2 linked regions of the Alligator mississippiensis genome follow. The protein of the gene in region 2 purifies or fractionates together with the protein of the main gene of each other region. This does not show direct contact. Links are inferred from orthologs where the notes say so. Each region holds a gene or a part of one and is shown on either strand. Other genes may lie near its edges.

The links. Proteins that work in one complex are often made in the same cells at the same time.
Region 1: the proteins of SGF29 (region 2) and SUPT7L purify together in Homo sapiens (affinity purification with mass spectrometry; 4 studies listed by BioGRID and IntAct, counting the BioPlex papers as one, with this or other methods). This does not show direct contact. The link is inferred for Alligator mississippiensis from reciprocal best matches to the Homo sapiens genes SGF29 and SUPT7L.

What each region holds. Positions count from the first base shown.
Region 1 is NC_081824.1:175,112,293-175,119,524, reverse strand, and holds the start of SUPT7L (STAGA complex 65 subunit gamma), read left to right. Parts: upstream 1-4,202; 5' UTR 4,203-4,267; intron 4,268-4,273; exon of another isoform or gene 4,274-4,541; 5' UTR 4,542-4,785; coding exon 4,786-5,198; intron 5,199-7,232. Other genes in the region: SLC4A1AP (kanadaptin), read right to left, coding at 3,512-3,967.
Region 2 is NC_081830.1:819,874-827,676, reverse strand, and holds the start of SGF29 (SAGA-associated factor 29), read right to left. Parts: upstream 3,093-7,803; 5' UTR 3,080-3,092; coding exon 2,834-3,079; intron 2,347-2,833; coding exon 2,188-2,346; intron 1,945-2,187; coding exon 1,869-1,944; intron 1,587-1,868; coding exon 1,514-1,586; intron 1,417-1,513; coding exon 1,352-1,416; intron 842-1,351; coding exon 712-841; intron 622-711; coding exon 475-621; intron 1-474. Other genes in the region: nuclear protein 1, read left to right, coding at 3,884-3,986, 4,301-4,440; perforin-1, read right to left, coding at 6,569-7,703. UniProt on the Homo sapiens protein: Chromatin reader component of some histone acetyltransferase (HAT) SAGA-type complexes like the TFTC-HAT, ATAC or STAGA complexes.

The DNA.
Region 1 (7,232 bases), on a different chromosome or scaffold from region 2:
AGGATTTCCCATGTCCCCCAAAGCTACTAACGTAGTTTCATAAGTCACTGAAGTAGTAAATCACATGGCACTGTAATGGGCTTAGAAGGTCCCTTTCAGCTTGAAATCCTGTCACTTGCAGGGGACCAACTCTGGCAACGCTATGGCAGCTGATGCATCTGTCTGGTACACTTCCTAAAGCCCTGGTACTGGGAGTAGCTCAAACAAACAAACTTATGTTAAAGTAGTTCTTTCCTGGTTTCGTGACTGCAGAGAAAGGGCTTGGAAAGGGGAACCTGAGCACACCCTGAAGTAGCAGAAATCAGGAGGCAAGGTGTGTGCGAGTGGGGTGTGTTTATACATAGAGGCAATTATGACTGCCTGTTAAGGACCTGCCTAATGGATTTATAGCATGGGGCTCTCATATCCCCCTGAAGCTACTAACATAGCTTCTTACATTGCTGAAGTAGTAAACCATATGGCACTGTCAAGGGCTTCCAAGGTTCCTTTCACCCTGAAATCCTGTCCCATGCAGGGGGCCAGCTCTAGCAATTCCATGGCAGCCAATGCACTGTCTGGCAAATTTCTGAGTCACTTGAATGTACAGATTCTTGTTAAAGTAAATTCCTTCTTGGTTGAAGGATGTGCATGTGCAACTGCTGGTATGCACACAAACATATAAAGTAAGATCCAAGCAAAAATCATATGTGTGCACACGTGCCCACACATGTAGGACAGGTGTGCGATAATTATCGTATCTGCATAATTTCAACCCTTGTACAATGTACAATAGATAATGTTAAAAGTGTTCAAAACATACAATAATTTGAGGCCATTAATTGATGCAGCATACACAAAATCCAAATCACTCTAGGAGGATGGGTCTACAGGTCGCTGTACGGTGACATGTTGTAGTACTTCCTTTTGGAAGTACTAACACATGGTGCAGCAACTGTACCATACATGCGGTGCACAGTTAGATTTCACTGTTACTTCACTGTAGTGGCACGCTAAAACAGGGGAGCATGCTGCTAGTAAGGTAGCTGCCAATCACGTGTAGACTCACGTGATTGCTATGTCGCCATAGCACGCTGTATGGCAACATACGGCAATGTGTAGACACACCCAGAGAGTTTCAACTGACTTTCGGGTTTGCTGTCAGCGCTTTCTTATGACTGGCTGCCTCAAAATAAAGAAACACTTCCACATTGATGACCCAGTTGTCCCTCCCTCCCTGGGGAATTACGGTGACGGAACAGGTTTCCCTCAACTTATGGGGTACCTGCATTCCTGGAGAACACTGCATAAATTGAATTTGCATAAAGCAAATCTACTTTATAATGTAAGGAACAGGGAGAGGTTCCCTTGTTGGCTGCTCCCAGGGCCAGCTGGGGTGAGTGCGGACAAGCGGAGCCCCAGGCATTGTGGGGCGTGGCACTCACCTCAACCCTGGCTGTAGCGGCCCTGGGAGCTGCCAGCACCAGCTGCCTGCACCAGGGCATGGTGCAGCCCAGCAGCTACAGGGAGCTGGCATTAGTCATTCCCAGGACAGCTGCAGCAGGAGCTGGGGTGCGTGGGGCCAGGCAGAGCCCCGGGGGGCTTGGGGCATGGTGCAGCCTAGTGGCTGCCAGCAGCTCCCAGGGCTGCTGCAGCCGGGGCTGGGGTGAGTGCTGTGCCCAGGACTCCGCTTGTCAGCACTCATGCCAGCCGGCCCCAGGAGAAGCTGACAGGGGAACCTATCCCTATTTCTTACATTATAAAGTAGGTTCGCTTTATGCAAATTCGATTTATGAGGTGTTCTCCAGGCCTATGCTAATCACATATACATGAATTTCTCTCACATATAATGAATTTCAGGTACAAAAGGGTCACGGCATAAGAATGAATGTGCATAAATCGAACCTGCATAAATTGAGGGAAACCTGTGTTGCCAACTCTCATGGTTTTTGGCGTTGTTCTTAAAGCCTGTGCTTCAGGAATGTGAAAAACTTAGCTGTTTCTTTTACGTATGTACAAATACATATGCATAGATGCATGCACACAGATATAGATCTCCTGCTCTATATATAGAAATTCTAACATTATAAAAGCTTCTGTCTTTCTGTCTGACTTTATTCACACTCTGACTGGCTGACAAATAGCCAATGAGAATGCAAAGAAGCATTTGGACAGGAGGCTATAGAGCACCGCCATGATGGCAGGGACATGGGGGACGGAGTGGGGATGCGAGGCCACTGGAGCTGGCCTTGTCCCCCCCACTCCTTGAAGGTGATGGCGCTGGTGCCAGTATGGGGGGGGAGTGGGGCTGGGACGCTGCAGGGGGGCATGGCCACCAGTGCTGGCCTCGGCCTGCCCCTTACCCCTACTGTTGTTGCAGCCTGCAAGGCCCATATGGCAGGGGTGGGGGGAGAAGCAGGCCCAATGTGGCTATGGGGGGAGGGAAGGAGTGGGCCCGGGCCTGATGTGGGGGAGTGGGGTGGAGAACTGAGCCTGAGCAGTGCGCGGGGGCGACGACACACACAGGACGACAAGCCAGACATGGCCTGATGTAGCAGCGGCAGGGGAGAAGTGAGCTTCCTCCGGGCTTCGGGCCCACTCCTCCCTCACAGTGCCCTCCCCTGTGTCGGCCCCAAGCACACTCCTCCTGTCCCCCCACCGCCACTGGGTTGGGCCCAGGCCCACTGCTCTGCCTCCGCCGCAACAGCCTGGCTTCTCCCCATTCTTGGGCCTGGTCTCTCCCCTGCATTGAGCCTGGGCCTGCTCCTCCCCTCCCTCCTGCTATTCGGAGTGGGCCCAGACCCCAAGCAGCAGGAGGAAAGGGGGGAGTGGGCCCAGATGTGGTAAGGCATGGGGCTCCATCCCCGCCTGCTCCCCCATCATTCTTTGGGCAATTGGCTAGCATGTGTATACCCCCCCCACTCCTTGCTTAACGTTGTAGTTACATGCTTGAAAAATGCAACTTCAAGCGAAATGATGGTAAACAAATCCAATTATGTCACAGTAGTTACCCTCCTAGCAGGTGGCAGTCAAACAACCTTATAACCGAACACTGCATGACTTTAAACAAATATGTTCTTTAGTAGAGCAGCAACGTAATAATGAAACAACATTAACCAGGATGACGTTAAGCGAGGTGTACCTGTGTGTACGCACAGACCTACTGAGAGATAAAGATATATACACACACATCTATAGCTCTCTCGCTATACCTAAAGACACATCTATATGTATAACATACATGTATATAAAAAATACATAAACGAAAGAGCTAAGTCTTTTGCATTCCCCAAGCGTAGACTTTAAGACCAACGCCAAAACACAGGAGAGGGCAACACTGAAGTGAGCAATATCAAGTAAATAAGAACAAGCTTACTCGCATCCTTTTTTGTTTATTTGCTGGTTTGTGTGTTTCCTGCCTGCAACAGCTGGTCAGATATCACGGGCATTAGGAGCTTCCCATAGGATAATTTCACACCTAAAGGCCTGGCACCGTGCGAGCGCAGGTCCAGCCCCCCCCCGGCCGGGCACGCACCTGCAGCACGAAGAGGCGGGAGCTGGCGCCGAAGCGCAGGCAGTGTCCGACTTGCAGGCGGCAGTAGGCGCGCGGCGGCAGGCGGCGGCGGTTGAGGAAGGTGCCGTGCGCGCTGCCCAGGTCGCAGACGTAGAAGCCGCGCGCGGCGGCGGGCCCGGCGGTGCGGTACTGCAGCACGGCGTGGCGCCGCGACACGGACGGGTGCGCCAGGGCCAGCGCGCAGCCCGGCAGCCGCCCCACGGCCCACCAGCTGCGCCCCGCCAGCCGCAGCGCCGCGCCCAGCGCCACACCGCCCCGCACCGCCTCCAGCGCATAGCCCGCGCCCGCCGGCGGCTGCCCGCCCCACGCCGGCTCCTCGTACTCCGCCGGCCCCGGCCCCGGCTCCGGCTCGGGGGGCGCGGGCGCGGGAGGCCCTGGCCTCTTGAAGCCTTCCCGGGCCTCCTCCTCCTCCGCCATGGCGCCGCGTCCGTCTGCAAACACGGTCCGCCGCGCCGCCGTCCCCGCCGCTCGGGTTCCGCCCGCGCCGCCGCCTCAACTGCCCAGTCCCGGTCCTGACATTGGTCCCGGCCCGGCGAGGGGCCCCGGCAACGGGGCGGGGCTGAGTAGCTCCCACAGGCGCCGCCGGACCCTGGGGGACGCTTTTCGAAGGGACGCGCGGGGGGACGGCTTCCGGGTCGCGGACATCACCGACTTCCGGGTCGCGGGGGGGTCACCGACTTCCGGGTGGGAGCGCGGTGGGGGCAGTTGGCCAGCGGCGTGAGTGTTCGATGGTGACGTCACTCGCCTTCCCGCTGAGAAGGCGCTGGTGGAGGAGGGGTAGAACTCTTGACCTGCCCCCGCCCCTTACTGGCTCCTTTCCCCCACCCCAGCACACGGTGCAACAGGCCGTGGGCCCCACGAGGCCTCGCACCTGCTGTCACCCAGGAGCTGGCTGGGTTTCTGCTTCACGGGCTCAGATCCCCCCCTTTTTTTTTTTAGGAGAGAAAAACGGTAGCGTCCTGCCTCACTACTGGCGTCTCTCTTTCTATAGGGCAGCAAGCCACGCCTGGGTCCCCGGCTGTTAGAACGCTTTGAAGACCAGTGTGGCTCAAGCTTTGCCTGAAGCGAGGGCTTTTTCTTTGGTCTCAGTGTCAGGGTGGCACGAGCTTCCCCACCTTTGTGGCTCCCTCTTGGTGGCCGGCCCCCTGCGGCTTGGGGTTTGCACCTGAGAGATGTGGCACGCTGCTCTGTAGCCTCTCTCTGCCGCTGTCTCTGCGTACCTCATTTGCAGGAAGATGCTGCGCTACTGGGGTGAAATTCCCGTCTCGGCCAGTCAGGCCAACCGCAGCTCTTTTGATTTGCTTCAACGCGAGTTTCGCACGGTGGAAGTCCAAGATCCTCCATTGCATCAGCCCTCGGCAAACAAACCCAGACCCACCACCATGCTGGACATCCCATCGGAGCCCTGCAGCCTCACCATTCACACCATCCAGCTCATCCAGCACAACCGACGGCTACGCAGCCTCATCGCCATGGCCCAGGCCCAGAACCAGCAGCAAGTTGAGGGCATCAAAACTGAAGACAGCGAGCCTCTGCCCTCCCGTCCTGCTTCTCCACCTCTCCCCGATGACCTGCTTCCCCTGGATACCAAAATCCCCAAACTGCCATTTCAGCTGAGGCACAGTGACCCAGAGAGTGACTTCTATAGGTGCGTTGGTGGTACTGTGGTATAGGTTGTAGCCTTGTTGATCTAAGGACATAGGCAGATGTGGATCTTTGGGTAAACCTGATATCTCTTCTTAGACCAACTCAAATACTTGGAAAAATCCTTGCAAAGAAGCTGGAAAAAAGCAAAGAAGAATTTTTCCAACAATTTGAGTTGGTCTCGTAAAAGATATCGGTTTTACCCAACGAACCTTGTCTGCCTTGGTGTTTACTGTGGTAAAGATTGAAAAATCTGTGCTTCAGCCAGACCCGTGTATTTTGAATCTGGATTCCTGCGGGCAGCTCTCCGATTGGAGGGCTTGTTAGGGGGGAAGACTGTCACAGTAGAAAAAAGAAATTAAAGTCCATTTTTGTGTGAGCAAGGTGCAGGGCATTTTGCTTCCATGTGCTGTGGCTTCCTATCTGTAATGTGGACTGTAATGCTAGATTTCCCTCATCAGTCAGCCTTTTAGCCATTTATAGCACCAAGTTGAGATGGTAGTATTAGTACTTTGTAGTATTAATAGATGAGATGGCAATATTAGTTGAGATGGCAGCATTAGTACCTGATGCCTGAAGCTCTTGGGGAAACTTTATGGATCTTAAGAAATTAATTAAGTCCCTTGATGCCCTCATGGAGGAGGCGTTTATCCCCTTTCTAGAGGCAGGGGCAGAGTAGATGGTCCGAGTCGCCCAAGTTCCCAACTGTGTCAAAAATCCAGATCTTAATTGTGTGGTGTAGCACAAGATGTCATTAATATCTTTGTCCTGTTGATGTTTGTAGAAGCTCTCTGTGGTTTTGAAGTCTGAGAAGAGAAGCCCAAGTGAGGGTAGTTTGCAACTTGTTTAACTTAGCATGTGCTTCGCATAACAAATTCTTTCTAATTTAGCACATAACAAGCTTTTGAGTTTAGTCAAGTTTCTGTTGTACAACTTTGACATATTTTTGATCAGATTGTACTTTGTCTTAGAAAAAGGGCTGTATTTGTTATCATCTTGAAAAGGAAATGAGTTATTATACTATTTATAGTAATAACGTCTGAGCCTCGACAGGATTCAGACCTACAGACATCTTGACCAAAGTCTTTTTTTTACCCCCCACCCCACTGACTGCAGTGGATAAGAAGAGTAGGGAGACAATATTTAATGATCTCCACCAGGGGGAGTTTAAGGATCAGATTATGAAAACTTAATACAGCATAAATTGGAAGTGAAACGTTTGATGGGTCACAGAGAGGGGGGTTGTAATAGGCTGCGGTAGAGTTCGGAATGTGCTACAAAAAGCAGTTGAATTGCTTGTCTGACGAACCAAACAGACTTAAAGCTTTCCAGGAGAGGAATAGATCAATAAAGCATGAGCTTCGTTCTGTTCTAGTTCAGAACGGAGAAAATCCCTGCGATTTTAAGGTGCTCATATGACTAAGAATAGCAGCTGCATTCCTAGGTAGAGCATAATTGGAAGAATTGTCAGCCCTGTCTTTTTCACTACACAAAGATATAAAGACGACGGTAAAGATAATTTAGGTGCCAGAGAGATGGTATTAAGCTGCTGATGACTGAACTAATCCAATCCCCCTTTTGCACTGTTACACTTCTAGAAAGGGGTGCTTACGTGTAGTTATACAAAAATTAAGAGGTTTTTATTATTGAAATGAAAACAGTGACATAAAGCCCTAACATTTAAAATTTGATAACGTACGTTAGATTTATGATCTTTGAACTGGAGGTATCAAGCATTACATGGCTTCTGCAGCTTTCTTTCTCAATGCTATGGAATCAGCTTAAAAGAAACTCAATATACCCCCTTAATTTCCCTCCCCCTTCCCTCATCCCACCTAAACATCCCAAATGCTGCTGCTCTTCTCCCCCTGTCTGGTTTGCTGCTGCAGGTCTGTCTGGATTGATGCCGTTTCCTTCCTAGCCTGGTATAGGTACGAACTTTGCACTTCCAGTTCAGTTGCTGTTTCTGGATAGGGTACAGATGTGGCATTGAGAAGGTGGTTCATGTTGGGAATGCCAGCTAATGGTTAGGAATGGT
Region 2 (7,803 bases):
TGTTCCAGCACCAGATAATCACCATCTTGGCTGGCTAGTGGGCCCGAGGTCATCGGGGGACCACAGAATTGCCCTCCTGGATGGCTAGAGGGGCCCCCGGGGGAGGAGGGGGGGTCCAGCACCATAGAGTCACCATTTTGCCCAGCCAGAGGAACCCCCTAGTGAGGTAATAGAGATGCCGTTCCCTCTTGGCTGGCTAGAGTGGCCCCTAGGACACCCAGTATCATAGTGTCATCCCTCCCCCCGCCCCACCCCCCATGGCTGCCTAGAGTGACTATCTTGGAGGAGCCATCACCCTGGCAGCCATATTAGAAGTCTTCCAATCCGTCCTCCTTCACCCTGGTGCCCATATTGGATGGGCCCTGGACCTGGCAACCATATTGGAAGCCCTCCAACCCCCCTCCCTCGCCATCCTGGCAGCCAGGCTGGCAAGTCCCACCCCATGGTGGACATCTTGGACTCCCCTCCACTCACTTGTTGGTGGCGTGGCTGTAACTAACAACCTCTGCCAGGATCCACTGCTCATCCCCGTCCACAGCTTTGACCCGGGCGGCCACCTTGTCCCCGGGCTTGGCTACGTAGTCACTGGCAGCTGGGATGGCGCCGCACAAAGGTGGGGGCCTGCAAGCAGGGGGCAGTTAGGGGTGTGGGGGAGGGCTATGAACCCCGCCCCCCAGGGCAGGGGGAAGCAGCAAGAGGTGGGGGGCTCACTTCTCGCCGGGCTTTCCAATCCAGAGAGGCAGCGTCATGGCCGATTGCTGGAGGAGGGTCATGAGGACCCCCCGGCGCATGGTCTTACGTGGCGGCTCCGAGTCGTTGTAGAGTCCCGCGATCTTCGCCGCTGTTGTGGGGAGGGCAAAAGAAAAGAGTGAGGTTTCTGGGTCCTCCCCGTCCCTGGATATCCACGTTGCACAGGACTGTGGGAAACAGGGCCGGTGGAGAGACCTATGTACCAGGGGCTTCTGGGAGACCCCCACAATATCCCCAGGGGTTTCTGGGAGGTCTGTGCCCAGCCACCCCGCATCCCCTGTCCCTCCCCAAAGAATTTTTGGATATCCCAGGCCCTCTCCCACCCTGGAGACCCCAAGACCTCAAGGGATTCTGGCAGTTCCCCCAGAGACCCCTACAGCTGAGGTCCCAGGGGATGCTGGGAAGTCTGTGTCCCCTTGTCAGACCCCAGGGGATTCTGGGAGGTATCAGGTCCCAAGGGATACTGGGAGTTCCAGGCTTCTATACCCTCCAGAGACCCCCACTAGCCCCGGGGGAGAATGCCCCTGTCCAACCACTTCTTGTCAGGCCCCAGGGGATTCTGGGAGTCCCGGGGGAGAGGAGGGGATTAGGTATTGCTTACCAATGCGTCTCTCCTCCAGCAAGGACTTGATCTCGGCGATCTTGTCCAGTGCCTTGCGCAGGATGCTGTGTGGGAGGGGGGGCAGAAAGGGGGGACATTAGTGACCGCTAGTGGGGGGGGGGGGATTTGGGGTGGGGGTGGGGCAAGGGGAGGCAAACTTACTTGCACTCAGCCTCTGCATCCGCCTTGGCCGTGGTGTAAAGCCCCCGCAGCTTGGTGCGGTAATAGGGGGAGACTGCAGGGGGGTGGGGGGGTGCAGTTCAGAACCCAGGCGTCCGGCCCCCCCCAATACTTGATTGAACCCGGGGGCCCGCCCCCCCACCTCGTGTTACGCTGAACCCTGGCGTACAGGCTCCGTCTCCCCCCCGCAATCGGAGATCAAACCCAGGCGTCCAGGGCCAGACCCATCGAAGGAGAAACCCAGGGGTCCGGGCTGGGCTGTAACCCCTCCCCCACCCCCACCCCCACCCCTGGGGGATTCTGGGAAGCACCCAGGCGTGCGGGGCGGGGGTCTCACTCTTATTCTCCGTTTGCATCCGCTCGTGGGTCTTCTGGATGTTCACCAGGTTGTGCTCGCTGCGGGAACGCTCCTCCTGCGGGGGGCGGGGTTACCAGGGCTCCGCCCCCTCGCCAGCAGCCTCTGGGGTAGCCCGTAGGAGGCGGGGATAGGACAACCCTCCCCACACACCTCCCCCTGCCCCCCAGCTCCTTCCTCTGCCTGCCCCAGGGAGGCGGCCGCACACCGCCTGCCCCAGAGGATGCTGGGAAAGGCCCCCCCCACCCCAGAGGATGCTGGGAAAGGCCCCCGCCACCCCAGAGGATGCTGGGAAGCTCACCTGGGTCTGCTTGATGAGCTGGTGCAGCTCCCCCAGCAGCTCCGCGATGCGCGAGTCGGCCGACACCAGCGCCATGGCCGCCGGGAGAGGGCGGGGCCTGCGGGGCGCCCGGCGGGAAGGTTTAGTCGGGGGGGCGGCTAGCTGGATTCCCACAATGCCCTGCGGTGGGGAGGAGAGTTGCTCACGCTCCCACAATGCCTTGGGGCTGGAGGGGGGACTTATGGCCTATCTCCCACAATGCCCTGGGGCTGCGGTGCCAGTAAGCTACTCTCCCACAATGCCTTGGGGCTGAGGGGGAGTCAAGGACATGCTCCCACAGTGGGGGGTTTGCTACTTTCCCACAATGCCCTGGGACAGGGAGCAGTTGGCCACACTCCCACAATGCCATGTGGCCAGAGGGCAGGTTGTCCATACTCCCACAATGCCTCGGGACTGGTGGGGTTGGCAACACTCCCACAATGCCCTGGGACCGGGGGGAGGGGGGGTCCAAGAAGCCGAATACGCATGCGCACTCCCATCACCCGCGTCCCCTCCAAGCTGCGCATGCGCATTCACCTGCTTACCATGACACCCCCTTCGCGCCCCCCCACCGCCCATTTCCGGCCCCGCTTGCCTGCCCCCCGGTCGCCCCCAGGCCCAGACGCACCGCGGGGCCCTCCGGGCGGGACCGGACCTGAAGCGGCGGCGAAGGAGCGGCTCCACGTTCCCAGGGCGGCAGCGGGAGGCGGGGCCCAACTACGCTTGCGCGGAGCCAAGCTCGCGAGGCAGCCTGGGACTTGCAGTCCCTGAGGAAGCGCTTTGAGGTTGCGCATGCGCACAGTGCCACCAGGGCCCACGCAGAACGACAGCGCATGCGCATCGCGCATGTTGCCCTTCCAGTCTCTTGCGCCATAGAGCCGGGGTCTCCCCGGGGCTCCTGGGAGTTGTAGTTTTCAGCTCCCCGGCCCCTCCCGCTCCTGAAACCCCGACCCCCAGCGCTCAGCAACAGCGGTGCCCCTCACTCCCGACCTGCAGCCGCTCCCCCACGTGCAGCATCGCCCATCCTGCGCCGACACCCTGCCCAAAATAGCCCCCCCTTCCCCGTACCCCTGTAATATGGGGGGTCCCCCCTTTCCTGGGGGGTGGGAGCAGGGGATTCTGGGAGCCCGGCCCCCTGGGTTGTCTGATGGGGGAGCCCCACAAACTCTTGTGGGCAGAAGGGGCTGCGGGGGGGGCACCCAGTTAATGATTCCCAGCTCAGGCGCCTCTCTATCAGGCCTGGCAATAAGGGGGGGGGAGGGCTGGGGGGGGGGGAGGGCTCAGCCGAGTCCTGACTCAGTCTCCCCTCGTGACCCGAGGTTGTTTTTCTCCCCATGTGTACCTTGGCCGGGGGCCGGCGGGGCGGGCGGGAGTGGGGGCACCGTAGGGGGGTGCGGGCTCGGCGTGGGGGCACCGCCGTGGGGAGCGATGCAGGTCAGCAGTGGGGCCCCCCTGTGCCTTTAAGGTTCTGGGGGTGGGGCAGGAACGGGGGGGGGGGGGGGTGCCTGGGGGGGAGACGGATGATGCAATGGGGGCGGGGCCTGGTCTATAAAGGGGGGGCAGGACCCAGCGAGACACAAACAGCCCCAGGAGACAGCCGGACGCAGCCCCTGCTGCACAGACCGACGCCCCCAGGGACCCCCAGCTCGAGGACCCCCGACCCCGCCTGCAATAGGCCATGGCCTCGGCCCGGCTTGATGCCGCCCGCCTGGTCCCGACGCCCTTTGAAGGCCGGTACCTGGACGCCTGCGACTACTACAGCCTGACCGAGCGCTACGCGGGTGAGGACCCAGCGTCCGGGCCCGGCCCCCCCTGCCCCGATCCCTGGCTATAAAGTCTGGCTATAAAGTCCGAAGTCACTAGATGGCAGCCAGGCTCCAGGCGTCCGGCTCCCGCCCCTCTGCTCCGCGCTCCCCTCCCAGAGCACCCAGGAGTGGGGGCACCGCTGTGGGGGGCTGCGGGGCGGGAGCGGGGGCACTGCTGTGGGGGGCTGCGGGGCGGGGGCGGGGGCACTGGTGCAGGGAGCTGCGGGTGGGAGTGGGGGACACCCAACTCTGACCCCTCCCCATTTGTGTCCCCCCCCCCGCCATCCCAGTGCCTGATGGGAGAGGCCGGAAAGGGCGTACCAAGCGGGAGGCAGCAGCCCACACGAACCGGCCCAGCCCAGCTGGGCACGAGCGCAAGTTGGCCACCAAGCTGCAGCGATCGGAGCGGCGCCGGGCGGGCAAGGAGTGAGCGGAGCCCTGCCCACAGGTGAGTCAAGATGGCAGCTGCCCGCAGGAACGAGCGGGGCGTGAACCGAGATGGCCGCCATGGGGGATGGGAATGGGGGAGTGAGCAGGAGTCAAGATGGCCGCCACGGGGCCTGGCATTAGGGATGGGAGCGGGAACCAAGATGGCAGCTCTTGGGCACGGCAGTGGGGAAAGAGTTGGGAACCAAGATGGCCGCCACTGGGTGCAGAAATAGTGAGGTGAGCAGCAAGCAAGATGGCTGCCACAAGGCAAGGCTGTGGGAAGCGGGCCAGGCATCAGGATGGCTGCCATTAGGCATGGAAACAGGTGGGAGTAGAAGTCAATATGTCCGCCTTTGGGCATGGCAGGGGGCTGGAAGTAATAACCAAGATGGCCACCATTAGGCATGGGCCAGGAGTCAAGATGGCCACCATAAGGCATGGCAGTGGAGCTAAGATGGCCATCATCACCCACAGCAATGGGGAACAGCACTGGGGTGGGCACAAAATGGTGGTAATGGGGCCCAAGATGGCCGCCAGCCACAACGCCAGGCTGGATGGGGGATGGCAGGGAACAAGATGGCCGACACTAACCCCACCCCCCTCGTTAGCTCAGAGCCTCGTTAGCGAACCCGGTTCCGGACCCCATGGCACACGGCGACACGGAGACGGACACACGGACAGACACACCAAGATGGCTGCCACCCATTGGGCCTGGTGGCCATGTTCTCGCTATTGCCACGGTGACCTCAGTGACCCTGTTGTCAAGGCGACCCTTTTGACCCCCCCATGGCAACCAGGTTTAACCTGTTGCCAGGGTGGCCATTTTGAACCCCCCCTTTGGAAGTCCTAGACACCCCATTACCAAGATGGCCATTTTGAATTTTCCCTGCAGCCACCATCTTGGGCCCATTGCCAGGGTGGCCATATTGAACCCCTCTGATGGCAACCATGTTCATCCCATTGCCATGGCAACCGTGGTGACCCTGTTGCTAAGGTAGCCATTTTGACCACCCCCTATAGGAACCAAACTCCACCCCTTTCTTGGGCAACCCCATTGACCCTCCTCATGGTAGTCATATTGATACCATCACCATGGTGACCATGTTGACACTCCCCCCCCCGCTGCCCAGGCAGCCATACTGAACCATCCCCATTTCAGCCATGTTCACTTTGTTGCCAAGACGGCCATATTGGCCCCCTGCCCATAGCAACCATGCTCAACACCTTTGTCTGGGCAGCCATTTTGAGCCCTTGGCAAAGGCGGCCTATTGAAACCATTGCCAAGACAACCAGTGGAACCCCTTGCAAAAGGCAGCCACATTGAAACCATCACCAAGGCAACCAGTGGAAACTCTTGGCCTAGGCGGCCATATTGAAACCATCGCCAGGACAACCAGTGAACCCACCCCGACTCGGCAGCCATGTTGGATACAGGGGAACCTCAGGTCCCAGGGGGCTCAGAGTGGTCAAAAAGGGGTGAGGAAAGGCACGGGGTGGGTAGCTCTGTAGCTGCCCCTCCTCTGGCCCCGGCACTGTTGCGGGGTGAAAAATAGTCAATAAAATGGGGGGGAGTTCTGAAGAAAATTCATGTTTCTTGAGACTTCTTCAGGAATGAGAGGGGCCAAGGGATTGTGGGTAGTGGAGGGGTTAGCCCCCCAATTGAGGGCTACACACACACACATTTGGCAGGAGGTCAACTCAAATGCCTTTATTCCCCCCACAGGCCGGATGCCCGTTGTCTCATTACTGCTAACGAACCTTGGAAGTCACCCTAATTAGACTCCCTCCCTGCCAGGGATGTGTGTACAGGGTTTGAAGGGGAAGGCCCTGAGGGAAGGAGATCGGTGGGTTGGGTTGGGCTAGGGGTGGGGTCATTTGTTAGAGTTGGGTTGGTGTCATTGGTTGGCTGGGTTAGGTTTGGTGTCCTTGCTTAGGATTGGGTTGCCATTATTGGTAGGTGGAGCTATGGATGGGATCATTTGTTGGGATCACCTAAGGGTCATTGATGGGTCAGGTGGACCCATCCCATCACCCCCTCTCTCCTCCTGGCCCCTCCCCGCTTTGTGGCCCCAGTCCATGTGGTTATGGGGCTGAAGGACCTGAAGAGGGGAAGCCCCCTGGGGGGGCAGTTATATCTCAGGGGGCCGGGGGGCATAGTCCTGGCACCGGGGCCCACCCAGGCCAGGCCCACACTGGAGGCGGTACAGGAAGTGGAGCTGCCCATAGGCCAAATAGCAGGTGCGAGACTGGGGGGCGCCAGCCACAGGCATCTCCCCACAGGCCCCCAGTAGGTCATCATCATGCCCGTTGTCCTCGTCCCACACCTCCAACCTCAGCCCGTCTTCACCGTCTACCCGCCCCACCCCAAAATCCAGTCCCACCCCCCATGCCGGGCTGTCATTGTTCCACACTGTGTCTGCCCGCAGCTCCTGCCCCCCATAAAACACCTTGACATAGGCATCTGACTGGGTGCCGAGGTCCCCGTAGAGCCTACTGGCATTGACCACCGTCACCATGAGCTGGCCCAGGCTTCGCTCCCGGGAGCAGCAGGATGCATCCCACCCCACCTCCTCTGAGCACAGGCAGGTGCATGGGTCCCACGGGCTTCGTTGGGTGCCCAGGGGGCAGGGATGGGTGCAGTTCCTCCACAGCGCCCCATCAAGGACATACTGGCTCACAGCCCTCTGGAGAGAGGCCCGCCGTGGGTCACCCTTCCTTGCCAAGGCATGGATGGGCATCAGAGTGTAAGAGATGAGCCCAGGGTTGGCTTTGAGGCCTTCCACCCAACGAGCATAGGCCCCAGAACCTCTTCCTCCTTGGAGGAGGAAGTCAACGTGGTGATGGCCGCCGGTTGCCTCCACATGGCTCTCGGTGTAGACCTGATGGAAGCTCTTGGCCAATGCCGCCTTGGTCTTCTCACAGACGGCATAGATGCTGTCCACCTTGGCCTGCCCACCACCCAACCCAGCTTCCACCTCCACGTCGAGGCAGTCCCGGACCTGGTCCACTGTGAGCCCATCCAGTGCCACCCGGCACACAGGCACTGCCTTGATTTCCTGGTGGTGGCCACCCACGTGGACAAGGGCTAGGTAGTGGGTGCCATAGATGCCCAGGAAGCGCAGGTAGTCCTCCCTGGAGCTCAGGCCGTAGTTGTCTGGGAGGTCGGAGAGGGCCTGGGAGAAGTCCAGGGATAGTGGGGGATTCTGGGCCAGGCGGAATCTGAGTTGGGGAGGGGGGTGAGAGGGGTGGAGAAGAAGCCACCATCTTGTGAGGGCCAGTGGGGCCTGGGTGAGAACAGTTGGGGGCGGTCTGAAGTGGAAAGAGCGTGACCTATGACCCCAAGTCCAACCAACCTCAACCCAAA